Linked DNA regions of Diceros bicornis minor. The protein of the gene in region 2 interacts with the protein of the main gene of each other region in a pairwise test. Links are inferred from orthologs where the notes say so. Each region holds a gene or a part of one and is shown on either strand. Other genes may lie near its edges.

Region 1 (6,925 bases), on a different chromosome or scaffold from region 2:
GCCAGCCTGGGGCCTGGAAACCAGCAACATCGGCCCCTGTGATGCCACAGAGACTGCCCAGGCCTGGACTTGGGTTTGCTTTCTGGGATTTATCTTTTCTCCTCTGTGCCCTGCAGTTTGCTGAGCAGACAGACTACGCTTAAATCTCCCACCCCAGGCCCACAATCCACTCTGGGTGGGAGGAAATAGTAGTTGTAGTCTCTTGGAATCTCTCCCTGACTCTTGAGAGGTGGAGATTAGGGACAGAGTTACTTATATCAGCTTGATTTTTCTCAAGAAGGTCTTGGCAGAGAAAAGCAGGGTGTCTCTCCAACTCTTGGGATCTGGAGGGAGGACTCCTCCCACTGTCATGCTCTCTGCCTGTGGCTCCCACTTGCTTGCGCCTGGGTATGGGGTCTTCTTTGAGGCCTCCCGCGGGAGGGCAGCAGCAGCCACTCCTCGCTGGCCAACAGCATCTGCAGTCACCAGCGCACACACTTCCTTCGGCAGCCCTTGAGGGGCTGTGTGTCTGGAGCAGAGCTCTCTTTCCCCAGCAGGTTCAGGCCTAGCTGAGCATGGGTGTACTCACCGATGGTTTCACAGCGCTTGTGAGCATAAATGAGGGCCATGATGGAGCACAGGGACACGTCTGGGTGATTCCGGATGCTCTCCAGGTTGTTGATGGCATCCTGGAGGCGCTCTGCAAAGAAAGCCCATGTGGTTATATTCTTGGGCACCAGGCCCAGAGGACAGGAAGCTCCAAGGCAGACACATGGGAGCCCTTATCAGGGCTGACCCAAGGCTTGTCACCACCTGGTTTCACCCAGAACCAGAGGACTAACTGGTGCAAAAGGTCCCCAATGGCCCAAGTTCCCGGAAGACAAGCTCTCTGAGAGGGCTGCTGGCACCAGAGCCCAGGCTGCCGGGGGCTGGAGAGCTTGGAGCTGAGAGATGTACCTGTGAGTATTCGCAGGGATACCTGTGAGGCCGGGAGTTTTGGCTGGGGGTCAGTTCTGAAGAGGGACCTCAGGGCATTCTCAGCTAGCTGCTCAAGAGCCACCGATTACATTTATCCCTCCACATCCACTGACGTTGCCTATGGAACACTCAGCCGGCCCCCAGCCCAGGACCACTTTCTGAGTGTCAGCAAGTCAGCACGTGCGTGGGCCCCAGTCCTCTCTCTGCTCCTGTATCATACCCGCCTGTACCCACACCTACCGCTTCCTCCTTTTCCTGCACTATTGGCTTGCAACTTCTGAGCCTGGGATTAGTTCAATAATCGTGCAATCAGCTCTCCACACACTCATTTTACAGATAGGGAAACTGAGGTGCAGAGCAGGAGTAGTGAACTCTCTGAGGTCTCAAAAGTCAACTAGATGTGAATTACACAGGCTTCTGTGAATTAACCTGGGAATCCAGTTACTGAGTGTAAGACTGTTTCCACGGAAACATGACTGGGGTATAAGCAGGCAACCAGGTGGAGCCAGAGTGTTAGTGGGGGTGGTGCCTGGGGTCACGAGGCCAATACTGGTGAGTCCTTACCTTCCCTGAGGACTCCATAGGCTTTAAAGAACTGCAGCACGGGGTCATTGCTGAATTTCTCCAGGCCCATGGCCGCAGCCTGCTGCACATGGCGGAAGTACTTTTCCTGGCTGTAGTAAATGATCCCAGCCTGCAGGGAGGAAGACACAGTTGCAATAACCCCAGTCCCTTCTGTGTCTCTGTTCTGACGCACTCCCTCCCCTATTGCCCGCTCTTCCTCAAATCTGCAAAGGGAAGAGGAAGAGAACATTTAGGCCGCATCCTGCCCTTGACCAGCCCCAGCAGTAGCTCCATGCCGTTTCCCCGGGAAGGAGTTTGGAGGTGTTTGTTTTGGAATTATCCACAGATTCTGGTTCAAATGTGATGGAGACTTCAACTCAAGCTTTGCCTTAGGAAGGGAATAAGGGGAGAGAGAGAGGACCGATAATAATAATAATTACACCAATAGTTAGAGTTACAAGATACTGTGGGCTAACCACCTCTTGGGAACTGTATCAAGGGCTTTACATCCATTATCTTATGCATCATCCTCTCTATATCCTTCACAGTTAAGGAAGCTGAAGCCCATGGATACCATGGCTTGACAAAGGTCACGTGTAATAGAGGGTGAGATTTCAAAGCAAAGTGTCACTTCCCCTAAGGTTTGTGGGTGCTGGGGTTGGGGATAGCCGTGGTTGGATTGTAAACGGCTTTGTGGGCTATATGAAAGGGCCCAGACATCATCCTGAGGGTAATAGGAAGCAGTTGGAATGGTTTTAAGCAGGGGGAGGGATGTGTTCAGATGTGTGTTTTTGCAAAAACCACTCTGGCTGCTGAGTGCGTCTGTGTGTGTGTGGTGGTGGTGGTGGTAGTGGCAGTAGGGGGAACTGCTGGTAAAGAGGGCTGAAGCAGAGAAACCAGTCTGGAGGGGGACTGTTGCAGGTGCCCAGGGGAGAGATGGGGTGATCCTGGTCTAGGAGATAATCAGGAGACACTTAGGAGCTGACATTTCTTGCTGATAGATAGGACCAGGAGTTGGGCATGGGGAAGAGTTAAGACTGGGGACCAAACGGCGGTACCATCTACCGAGTTGGGGGACACAGAAGATTCACAAGCAAGGGAGGGGGAGACGATGGCAAGATGACAAAGATGGGTTTTGGATGGAAATGGGTTTTGGATGCGTTGGTTTGGGGGAGCTCGCGGACAGGGCTGGGTGGGGATGCTGATTTGGGGCTCAGGGCGCACTGAGAGCACCAGAGAGGATGCACTCTCCAGGGAGAGCGAGGCGAGAAGAGGCCAGGACCGCCTGCAGCGGCCGGGGACGGCGGAAGGCAGGTAAAGCGGACAGCAGGAGCGGTCAGAGAGGTGGCAGGAGAGAAGCAGGGTCGGGGGTCACCGGGCCAGGGGCGGAGGATCCCGCAGGGAGCGGGCGGGCAGCGCCCGGGCCACGCACCATAAGGGCGGAGTCATCGCCGCTCATCTCCGGGAGCTTGTGGCTCCGAGTCCGGGTCTGGTGGTGCCGCGCGAAGCCAGATGCCCCTTCAGAGTCCTGGGCACGCCTCTCGTGGCCGGAAGCGGGAGGCGCGCGCGTCCTTGGAAACGGTGTTGCCGGCCAGTTGCTAAGGGCGTCAGAGTCAGGGGTGGGAGCAGCCAGGCGCCCACGTGACCAGGCGCTGGTAATCGAGCGCCGAGAGGGCGAGCTCGCGCTGGTGGCGCCAGGTCGGGCAGCGGGTTACGGGACTGGGGCGCCGCATCCGGGCCGCTGCCATGGGCCTGGGCGCCAGCGCCGAGCAGCCCGCGGGCGGCGCCGAGGGCTTCCACCTGCACGGGGTGAGTTGCCCCGCGGCGCCGGTCACTGGCGGGGCGCCCTCACCGGGACTCCTGGTCGCCGGCCTGAGGGCGGCAGCGGCGGGGTCCCGGCCCTAGTGCAGCCGCCCGGGGGGGAGGGGGGCGCCCTTTGCCGGTGGGAGCCGCCTGCGAGAGGCGGCCCTGCGGCGCCCCTGGCCCCCAGCCCGTCTGCGGTCGCGGTCGGCCCAGTGCCCGCCCCAAGTGCCAGCTGTGCAGGAAGCGGGAGCGTTTCCTCGTCAGGTTGGGCCAGGCCGTCCCGGAATGGCACTTTTCTCTGGTGAAAATTGCACCAGGTCCAGTTGGGACGCATTTGTGCACTTAGGTCACATTTATGATTGCCTGCTGCGTGCTGCGCTCCGTGCTGGGCCCGGAGAGAGAGCCAGCAACGCCGAAACCTCGGCAGTCCCCGCCCTTGGATCCAGGGGGTCAGGGTAACCAAGTGGGCGCCAGCTGCGGGGGAACCGGCCGGCGCGCATCCCGCCTCTCGTGGTTTCGGAGAAGCTTCGGGGGATCGAGGACCAGTGCGAACCAGCCGGGGAAAGTGGGAAGCGGGAGAACCAGGAGAATGCTGCAGAAGGCACGGGGAGAGCGTTTGCAGCAGGGGGCGGTACCCAGGGCGAAACATTGCAGATAGGAGCCGGAAGGCCGGGGCTGAGAACGTCCTCTCGGTGTTGCTACAAGGAGGTCTGGACAAGCAGTCCTGGGGAAGTGGAGACGGAGTTGGGTTGCTAGAATGTGAGGTGACGAGAGGGGCCCGCAGCCAGGTGGAGAGTTGGGATCGAGACTTGTACGGCAGAGTGGGAGGGGCTGTAACCGAGGTGAGAGATAGGAGGGCCTTTGACCCCGGAGCGCAGCGACGAAGGGCCCCCTTTTTCCTGGCGCACAGTGGACGGATGCAGGGGTGGGTGTGGGCAGGCAAGCTTGTCAGTTTGGTGCCTGGCTCTTGAGTGGTCTCTGTATTGTGCTGGCAGGATCTGTTATCGGCTCCCAGGGGGGAGGGCTAAAGAAGGGGTTTCCTGAAAGGAAAGCAACTCGGAGTTGGCAGGGTTTGTGCTCAGTGATGAGCTTTCTCTAGTGGACATCATGGTGAGGCATCAGACGGTAAAGGTGGACGGTGGAATGCATCCAGCCCAGAGAGTCTTCCAACAGGTTTGATGGAAGGCAAAGGAATTGAGGATATTGGCAGGAGAGAGGGGTGGGGCAGTGGTGGGAGTGAAGATAGGAAGGGCCTATTGGAGAGGGACAGAGTGGAGAGGGATTGTAGATCTTCATTCACAAAAACAGGTATTTGTGAGCACATACTTTGTGGCAAGCAGGGAGAGAAGGGAGAGAGACAAGAAAGAGAAATATATGGTGGGTGGTGATCATTGCTAGGGAGAAAAATAAAGCAAGGTAAAGGGATACAGAGTGATGAGTGTGTGCTATTTTGCATAGAGGGGTCAGGAAAGGCTCTGATCAAGGAACACTAGAACAGACACCTTGGAAGGAAGGAAGGAGTGGACAGTACAGATATTTGGGCAGAGCGGGTCCCTGAGGTGGGGTGGTGCTTGTTGTGTTTGAAGAGAAGGAAGGAGGGGAGGCTGGTATGCTTGGATGGGCTGGTCAGTGGAAGGAGAGTGGTAACAACTGAGCCTAGATTGTGTGGGGCCTTGCATGTTGTCCTGAGGATCTAGGATTTTATTCCGAGATGTGGAGCCATTGGGAGGTTTTAAGTGGAAGTGTGACATTACCTACTTACATTTTTAAAAACTAAAGAACAAGTGTGCTGCCTTCTATAAATATTGGGGTTTCCACTGTGTGCCAGGGACATGGGAGAAGTTCCTGCCCTCAGCAAGCTTAGAGCAGTGGAGGATTTCCCAGGAAATGGCTGTTCCAGGGCAGTGGTTGGGAGCGGGCTCTGGGTTGGATTACTGAATAACTGAGTGTTTTTCCCTCATCTGTAAGTTAGGCTTAGTAAAAGGGTTAAATGATAGGTAAAGCAGATGGTGCAGTCCCCTGGCACTCAGCCAACCCTCAGGAAGTATAAACCTCTGTCACTGTTAATTACATTAGGTTCCCTGGTGGGGAATAGAGCAGGGAGTGTTTTGAGAGCAGCATGCATTGTGGGGCTGCAGGGTCGGGTGTGATGGGAGCCCCCAGGAGAGCTGGACAGAGAGTGGTGCTTGTTGAGGGAGTAGGGGTGTGGTAGGCAGCAAGGATTATTTCCGCTGTGGAGCCATAGTGGACGATGACAAGGCCCAGGACAAGGGCAGTGCAGTACAGCCAGACAGAGGACAAGCCACGGGAGAGGGCGGATAGAGGCGCTGAATGGGCTGGGAGAGGGCCAGGCCTGGGGCTTGGGGGCCTGAGCCTCTGGACCTCATTAATGATGGAGGGCAGCTGCCTCATAATGTTGAGGAGGGTAGCGGGCAGATAGCTGGGCGGCACCAGCCCCAGGAGCAGGGGCCTCACCTGAGGGAGGTGGAGTGGCCTAGAAATGGCCCTGAGCAGGGAGGAGCACCTCCCACAAGCTATCCCTGATTAACTGTCCTATGATTTTCAAAAGCTGCCTTGTCCCAGCTGTCTGCTGAAGGGACAAGGTGCAGGCTCAGAGCACTTGCCCTCTGGGCCAGGCCATCTAGAGCTGGACTTGGTTTCTGGGTTCACTCTCATTGGAAGCCATGGCAGCTTCTGCAAGTGGCAACAGGGACTCAATTGGTCACACTCCCGGGAGGGAATCCTAATTCCAGAGGCAAATTGGCCTTGTTGCAAAGGCTCAGTGGTGAGCTCTCCTTCAGCTTAAAGACTCCAGGACTGGAGGGGCTGGTGGGTGGCGGAAGCCACAGGGCCTTCTCCTTGTGGGTGCCATCCAGAACCTGAGGCCGCATGAGCCCTGTGCCCTCTGGGCTGGGGCCTGACCAGCAGGACATCAAGTGCTCACACCAAAGGCCTCAGGGTGTGGGGCCCAGCGTCAGGGTCGTGGGCTTGGGAATAAAGGCGGCCTTGTCTGGGCGAGGCTCTGTAAATGGGGCCTGTGAAATGGATTTCTGCCACCGCCGGCAGCCTGCTGTTGTGCTTTTGGAGATGGCAGTGAGCTGGGGAGCTCAGGGCAGGGCAGGGCTGGGAATGGCTCCTGGAGGAGATGTCCTGCATGGGAGGAGAGGCGGGAACGTGAGGCAGGATTGGGCACTGCTCACAGGCTCCTTGGCTCGGGCTCATTCCTGTCCCTGGGGTCTGCTCCCCTCAGCCACCCACTCCTCAGCAGTCCCACCGCCTGCTGGACTGAGTTTGGATCTGTCACCACAGGCTTGGGGGGCCCTCTGGGATCTGCTACAGGCTGCCTTCCCCACTCTGTCTTTCTGGGCACAGCCCTGGTTCCATCTATCCTGGGGACCTCCCTTCCTGTCCACATCGAAACCTTTCTGGTAAACCCTCCAGCTTTCCAGAGGCCCCAGCCCAGCCCTCTGGGGCAGCATCCCCACAGGCCTGCACCACCCTGTCTCCATATGGCCTACTGGTAGCCCCCAGGCTGCCCTGGGCTCTCTTAGGAGGCATTTCTGGAAGCATAATCAATGGATCATGATCAGGAAAGAGTCGT
Region 2 (7,395 bases):
CTACTTTCTCTCAGCTAGAAAGGAGTCAGAGCAAAAGTTTAGGATACCTTTGCTTTTTAGTTGCTTATCCAACATTCCTTCACCTCCACAAACCAACTCAGACAATTATCAACTCAGCAAGTATAGTCCTTAGACAATTATATTACCACTAAAAAAGCAAGGCCATATACTTTTTATAAAATATATTATTAAAACACGAGAAACAGCTGGTCCTATTTTTGCTTCCACTCTGCTATATATTAAATCTTCTGATATACTTCATGCAAATAAACATTTTGATGATTAGTCACAAAAATGTAAGTATTTCATTCTGGGGAAAAAAATTGAAATGCTTTCTATCAAATACCAAACACTACACCACATCTATCCACAGTACTATCCACAACTAAATTAATGTTAACAAGAAATACACATACTTTTTTTTAACAACGTTGACTGTTTATCAGTAAAACAAACAGGTTGTTTTGGAGAAGAAGGGAGTTCTTGATCAACACTGTCCTAAAAAAGCAGAAAAAAATCAAAACAAGTTAAAAACAAAAATTATAGTTAAACAAGGAAATGCTAATAATGGGACTTAGAACTGAACCACAAGTAGATAAGCTAAAGCCCCTCAAAAAACCCTTTATTTTCCTAGTATTATTAAAATAACGAAAAGCCTGCAAAAAAGATGATGCAGCCGGTCACTCCCAAAGTCTAATATTAAGGAATTAAGTTGACTTCCAGCAATGTCCATGGAATGCTAAAAACAAATCCTTAATACCTTAAACGAAGTTAAACTTTCTCTAACCTCATATAACATTTGGCTTATGATTCCACCATGAATTGATTTTAATAAGGAAGTGACGTTCACACAGCAGAAGCTGTTACTAGGTCAATTTTTTAACAAATGGGTTTATAAACGTCACAAACCAAAAAAGGATGCTGTATTAAAATACTTATTCCCTGGCGTATTATGAAGTCCATCCAATTTTTACATTATATTACCCAGGTATTGAGGTCACAGTTTCTAATTATTGCCTCATTTTCAAAAGAAGGCCTACTTACTAATTTGTGCACTGAGAGGCTACCATCTCACTACTGACCTATTTGTGTGAAAAGATTTGAAGGTTCTTACACAATTATTTTCTTAGAGAAACTGATAATTTGTTAATCACAGAGAATATAGTTCCAAAAGAGTGTATTTATTTTTAAAATAAGCTTAATCTAAAAAATTATAGAACAATACTAGTGAAAAAGAACTAGGTTATGGCTAACTAATTTGACTAAAATATATATACTTAAAGTTATAGACCTAGAGAATAACAAGAGAAAATTCTGTCACTGTAAAGAAAGGAAAATGGTACATAACCCCAATTTCATTGATACATAATCCTACTTGCTACATTCAAGGGTAGAATTAGCTTATACTTCAAAGATATTACTAGACAAAATGGTCTTATTCTAAAGTGGTTTTACTAACAGGAGAGGCCCCAAATATAGACCCTATAACCAGCATTAAGCATGAGAATACACTTATACTATCAAATTTTTTCCCCTAAAAGCTCACTCACAGTAACAAAATTAAGTTCTTTCATCACATCATCAATGATTCCCCGACGTCTAAGGGCTTTAATCAAATCATCTGTTGATAACTGTTGTTGATCAGGTGCCAATTCTTCACGTATTGTCTCAGCAAGGATTTCTCTTATTCTGCCATGGACATCCATCTATGCAGAAAACTCGCATTACAATTTACAACATTACAAAGCAATCAAATATTGCCAATTAGGTAATTTCTTTCTAAAATACTGACTCAAAGAAAAAAATGGGAGAGTACACAGACTAAATTCAGGAAAGCTTCTTAAGCTAATAGTAAATGTAAAATTGTTACCAGAATTCAATGAGAATAAAGGTAAAATCTTTTAAAGGAAAAACCAAAGAAAAAATTTTTTAAAGATGAATTTTTTTTAGTACAAATTCTAGAAATAATCTCTGATTATCTACTACCCTCGTTACCATTTCCCCACAAATAACACTCAACCAAAACAAATCTTTGGAGAGAGAATACTGTATAATCAAAATAACACAAACCTGGAGAAGACAATCAAAGTATGAATTTCAGCTTTCAACTTACTAGATGTGACCTCCAGTTAACCTGTTTACCCTTTATGGATCGGGAAATAACAGTGCCCTGTCAAGACTGTGAGGCGTACACAAAAGTCGGCAAACAAGCGCACAATACACGGAGTTCGTGGTACAGCAGCTTACTGCATTCAGCTGAGCGCCTCCAAGACAACGTTCTTCCTGAGCCCCGAAGGGTCACAAATACTTTCATTACAAATCCTTTAGTAACGTCTCTTTCATGACTTAAGAACTGCTGATTTGTTTCAACTTCAACGACACGGCAAGGTTCACCCTTAAAGTAATTCTAATTCCCACCTCTGAATATAAACCTGCTCCAAACACAACTTATACTCGACCTGACTTCCAGAAATCCCCGATAAACGCTTCATTTCCACACTGTCCTACGACACTAACACCGCTCCATCACCTCAGACTCTTACTGGCACTTTCTGGGCTCGCTCTTTCACCGAGACTAGAAAGTTCCTCTGGCGTCAAACCCGACGCTCTGCGCATCCCGCGCTCCGCGTCTCAGCCTTTGCTCGAGTCCCCGGCAAACAGGTGCCGCCGTCGGCCGGGCCAAGGGACGCCAGGCCGGGCGCTCAGGCCACACGGCGGGCAAGAGCGCGCCCGCTGCCCTCACCTTGCTCAGCTGCTGGTGGATGAGCTGCTTCAGCTCGGAGGCTTTCTCCGGGGGCAGGGACATGCTGCAGCCGGCGCCTCGCCGCCAATTCTCCCCACTTCAGGCGCCCCGACCCGCCCCGGAGCGCTGGTCGTGGCTGAGCACAAAGCCGGCGCCACCGCTCGCCTCCGCAGCTCCCGGGGGCGCGACGCCGCGTCAAGTGCGAGCTGGGCGGCGGAGGTGCCCAACTGTTGTTTTCAAACGGGGGCGGACAACCAGCCTGGGGACTGTCCCTCGCTCTGCCTGATCATCTCCGCCCGCAGCTGCCCCTCCCTCGGGGTCCTCACCCCGCGACCTCAGGGCACCCCATCATCTTGCCTTGCCAGAGTCTCCAGATGCGCCGCCCGCTCCCAACTCTCACCCTGTCGGGGTCCAATTCTGTCCTCTGGACCGGCAAGTATGTGGACGGGCCCCTGAGGACCCCGCGCCCAAGGACTCGAAGGACCCCGCCCGCCTGGCTCCGCCCCTCCCGCCTGGCCCCGCCCCGCCTCACTCGCGTCGCGTGGGGCTCCGGGGACTCCGCGCGGGGGCACGGTGCTGAATTTGCGGTTTTCGTTTTCTTTCCTCCCCCGTGGTTTCTCCGTTCCTCCGACTTCGGGACCACCATTTTGTTCCCTGCGGAGAATCGGTTCCCGACTTCGCGGGTTTCACTCTCCTGATGGTGAGTCCCTGGTTTCTCGAACTCTCCACTGCCCGGCTGGGGGCTGCTGCCCCTCCGGAGGCGCCTGTTTCCCGACTCGGGGTGCTTCACCCGGCCCTGGAGGAGTACTTGTTTCTTTTCCAGGTGTTCAGCTTGCGCTGAAAACATATGGAGGATGTGGCTGGAGGCGTCGGTCCGAATAGAACCTTTGTTGGCGCTGTCACCAAACGTATCTAAGTCTGCGGTTTGTAGTCTTTGTTGACTGTAGAACGTAATGTGTTTGGATGTGACAGATACGTTGTACATATGTTGTGCGGGTCATTGTCTTTACGTTTTATCCTAGGAAATCTTTTTTCAGCTAATTTTAGAGTCATTCTTAAGCTAGCAAATCATCGTCGTTAACCATAAAACTACAGATAGGGTAATAAAAGTAAGTTTTGCTAGTAAACACACGGTTTTATCGCTCTTAAAATTACCCGTATTCATTCATTGTTTTAATAAACATTCTGTTATGTGAAAATGTTAGAATAAGACTAGGTCCTTGTGCTCAAGAAGCTTGCAGTCTAATTGGAAACACATGTAAATCAATAAGGGCAATAAATGCTAAGCTAGAAATTTGAGAAGGATATAGAAAGGCCCTAAGATGTATTGGGAGGAAGAGGGTCACAAGGACCTGTTAAGAAAAGCTTCATATGTGGAATCTCAAAAAAAAAAAAAAGAAGCAACAAACTCGTAGGTACAGAGAACAGATTGGTGGTTGCCAGAGTGGGTGGGGGTGGTTGGGTGAAATGGGTGAAGGTAATCAAAAGGTACGGACCTCCAGTTACAAATAAGTCCTGAGGATGTAATGCACAGCATGATGACTATAGTTAACAGTACTGTATTATATACTTGAGAGTTGCTAAGAGAGTAGATCTTAAATGTTCTCATTACAAGAAAAAAAAATGTGTAACTATGTGTGGTGATGGAGGTTAACTAAACTTACTGTGGTAATCATTTCACAGTATATGTGTGTATCAAATTGTTGTGTTGTGTGTTTAAAACTGATACAATGTTATATGTCAGTTATAGCTCAACTTAAAAAAAAGTGATGGTAATTGAAAAATCACTTTTTGGCAATTTTCATTGTAGTAATGCACACAAGAAATAGCAATGATTCCAAAAATAATGTGCAATAGAGTACTGAGGAAGAAAATTTTACATCATTTCAAAGTATCTCCCTGAAACATATGTATTAATCACAAAAGGGAAAAAGTATGTTTGCGGGAGATACCTGGAAGCTTCGTAGCGAAAGTAATGTCTCAAAGATTATTGGTGGTAATGTTGACAGTTATCAGTGGAGTGGTGAAGAGGGAAGCCACGCTGGACTGTGTTGAATAAATGGGAGAAGAGGTGGAGATGTGTATGTGTACGTATTCACTCGTTAATTCAGAGATAAAGCTCCTGCATATGTTTTAGTGGACAGCTGTGGGGAATTTTGGCTGTGGAGGGACACTGAGAAGTAAGGTGGTAGCTAAGGGGGTATGTGAGATCAAGGGAGAGTTTTTTAGAAGGAAAGATATTAGAGCGTTTGTATATGCTGACGGGAAGAATCCAATAGTGAGGAAAAGATGGATGATACAGGAGAGTGAGGGTCTACCCAAAGCAGCAAAATCTTTGAGAAGAGGAAAGGGAATTACAGGAGAGAACCAGGGGATTAGTAGGTGACAGCAGTGAGAAGTGAGAGAGCACTCTCAGGGACCCAGAAAAATAAGATGAAGGCCAAAAAAGAAGCAATTGCTGGAAGAAGGCAAAGGAGGCGCTACATTAAAGAGATGCAGTGAAGAGCGAGTCAAGGAAAATTAGTCGTGTATTAGATGTGGGTGGTCAGGGAAAGGGAAGAAGGTTCCTGGTTTAGGTAGTTGGGTGAATTACAAAATACAAAATATGGGAAGAAGTTTGGATAAAAGTTTGGTTTTGTACATGTTGAATGTGAGTTGCCTGTGACGTAACCATGTGGAGATACCCATTAGGCTCTGGAGTTCACCTTTAAGTCATGGGGATAAATGTGTGTGTGTGTGTGTTTAGTGTGAAAAGAAGCTCACTCCAACCTTTAGGCACTAACAAAGCAAATGGAAAGAAGACCCAAGAGCACTTTTGTTCATACCTCACAGCCTTTACGCTTGCTTTCCCACCGCCTGGAATAGTCTTTTCCCTGGTCTTTGTGGGGCTCCCTCCCTCACCTCTTGCAGGTCCATAGTTACTTGTCGCGTGAAGTGAGTCTTTCCTTGATCACTCTGTTTAAAATTTCAACCAACCGCATAACACACACTCTCACTCGCTTAATTTTTCTCCATAGTACTTACCACTGTATATTTTACTATTTATTTTGTTTTTTACAGTAAACCACTCCCTCACTAGAATGGAAACTCCACAAGGGCAGGAACTTTTGTCAATTTGTTTTACTGCATTCCCAGTGCCTAGAGCAATGATTGACACATAATAGGTCATCAGTAAGTGTTAAAGCAATAGTGTCAAAGATGGTGGAGGCCCTGCTGACACCTCAGTTGCAGCTAATGAAAGAGTGGGTATCTAGCTGTGACGTGCCTGAGCATAAGCGTTCAGTTCTAGTGCTGTGATTACTGTCTTCTGTCTAAACTTTTAAAAGTGCTGCTAATTTTGATGACTTAACATATTTTTATTATTTCAGCCAGCTGTGTCTGTTGGAAATGTTGGCCAGCTTGCAGTAGATGTGATTATTTCTACACTGAGTATGTGTAAGATTGGTTACTTCTATACCGATTGTCTTGTGCCGATGGTTGGAAACAATCCGTATGCAACTGCAGAAGAAAATTCAACAGAACTCAGTACAAATGCTGAAGGTATGTAAGACTTCTGCATGTTTTATTCTACTACAAGGTAGAGTTGTTTTAAATTAGAAATAGAGGCTACAGATACTGTTTTGTAGCAAACATTACTTAGTGCCAGTTTTGTGCAGAATTTGCAATACAGTCACATTGTCCTATTCTCTTACATCCTGGTTTTAGTTCTTAGCCTTTTCTAAATGGCAACTCCTATGAGGGATGAGATTGTACTTGTATCTTTGGGTAGAATTTGAGAGTTCCAATTTTTTAACATGGGTTTTTTTTCCCTTTTATCCTCAGTTTTATTTTCTGTTCCCACTGGCACATGTAAGCATGACCTATACCAGGGAAAGGGGAAAAGAGAATTCCACTGGGCTCAGTCCTGTGAGTTTAATATGTGCTGCCTCATCTAAGCCTCATAGTCATCCCTCACATTCTTATAGAATCCATAATAATATGGTATCAGTAAGGCTCAGAGAGACTGAATTGCCTACTACTACTAGTAGGTGTATGCTTTTCCCACACCATAAATCTCCATAGTTCCTCATTGGACTAGCAAGCTTCGTTAGTCAGGGAACAGTTTCCTTTGCGCTGACCACTGTGTGTACGATGTGGGACTGCCCCGAGTGAGGGGAAAAGCTGTTGATCCTGAAGCCCAGGAGCATCAGTCACTTCATTCGATGGCTGACTGCTCTGTTGGCCTCTCTGTCTTCTGTTTACCATTTTAAGGTGAAAGCCAGAAGTGATAGAGGAACATGAAAAACCATTGGTGGAGTTAAAGACAAGTGAAGAAGCGTTTTATTTTTTGTCAGTTTTATTAACCATGTCATTAGGTTGCGATAATGAAATATACTTTCAAGAAATAACCTTAATATTGAAATTCCTGCAGGACAGATGGCTTTGTTAACACAAGACTGAATTTCAGCTATTTCTTAAAGGATAAGGACTATAAATGGTAGAACTAGAATTTACATTCTTTCACTGTTGATAACAGCTATCATTTATTGAGTATTTCCTATCAGCTGACCATCTTGTGTAATTACATGTATTGATTAGTTTAATCCTCACTGCTACTCCATAGGTAGTTTTGTAGTTGAGGAAACCATTGGACACAAGTTAAGGCCATGTGA

What was found.
Region 1: the proteins of CEP76 (region 2) and TTC21A interact in a two-hybrid assay, tested with the Homo sapiens proteins (2 studies listed by BioGRID). The two-hybrid records come from large-scale screens. The link is inferred for Diceros bicornis minor from reciprocal best matches to the Homo sapiens genes CEP76 and TTC21A.

Annotation. Positions count from the first base shown.
Region 1 is NC_080741.1:41,867,570-41,874,494, reverse strand, and holds the start of TTC21A (tetratricopeptide repeat protein 21A), read right to left. Parts: upstream 3,008-6,925; 5' UTR 2,981-3,007; coding exon 2,954-2,980; intron 1,652-2,953; coding exon 1,522-1,651; intron 680-1,521; coding exon 569-679; intron 1-568. UniProt on the Homo sapiens protein: Intraflagellar transport (IFT)-associated protein required for spermatogenesis. Required for sperm flagellar formation and intraflagellar transport.
Region 2 is NC_080755.1:10,841,292-10,848,686, reverse strand, and holds the start of CEP76 (centrosomal protein of 76 kDa), read right to left. Parts: upstream 3,018-7,395; 5' UTR 2,807-3,017; coding exon 2,744-2,806; intron 1,707-2,743; coding exon 1,551-1,706; intron 499-1,550; coding exon 417-498; intron 1-416. UniProt on the Homo sapiens protein: Centrosomal protein involved in regulation of centriole duplication. Required to limit centriole duplication to once per cell cycle by preventing centriole reduplication.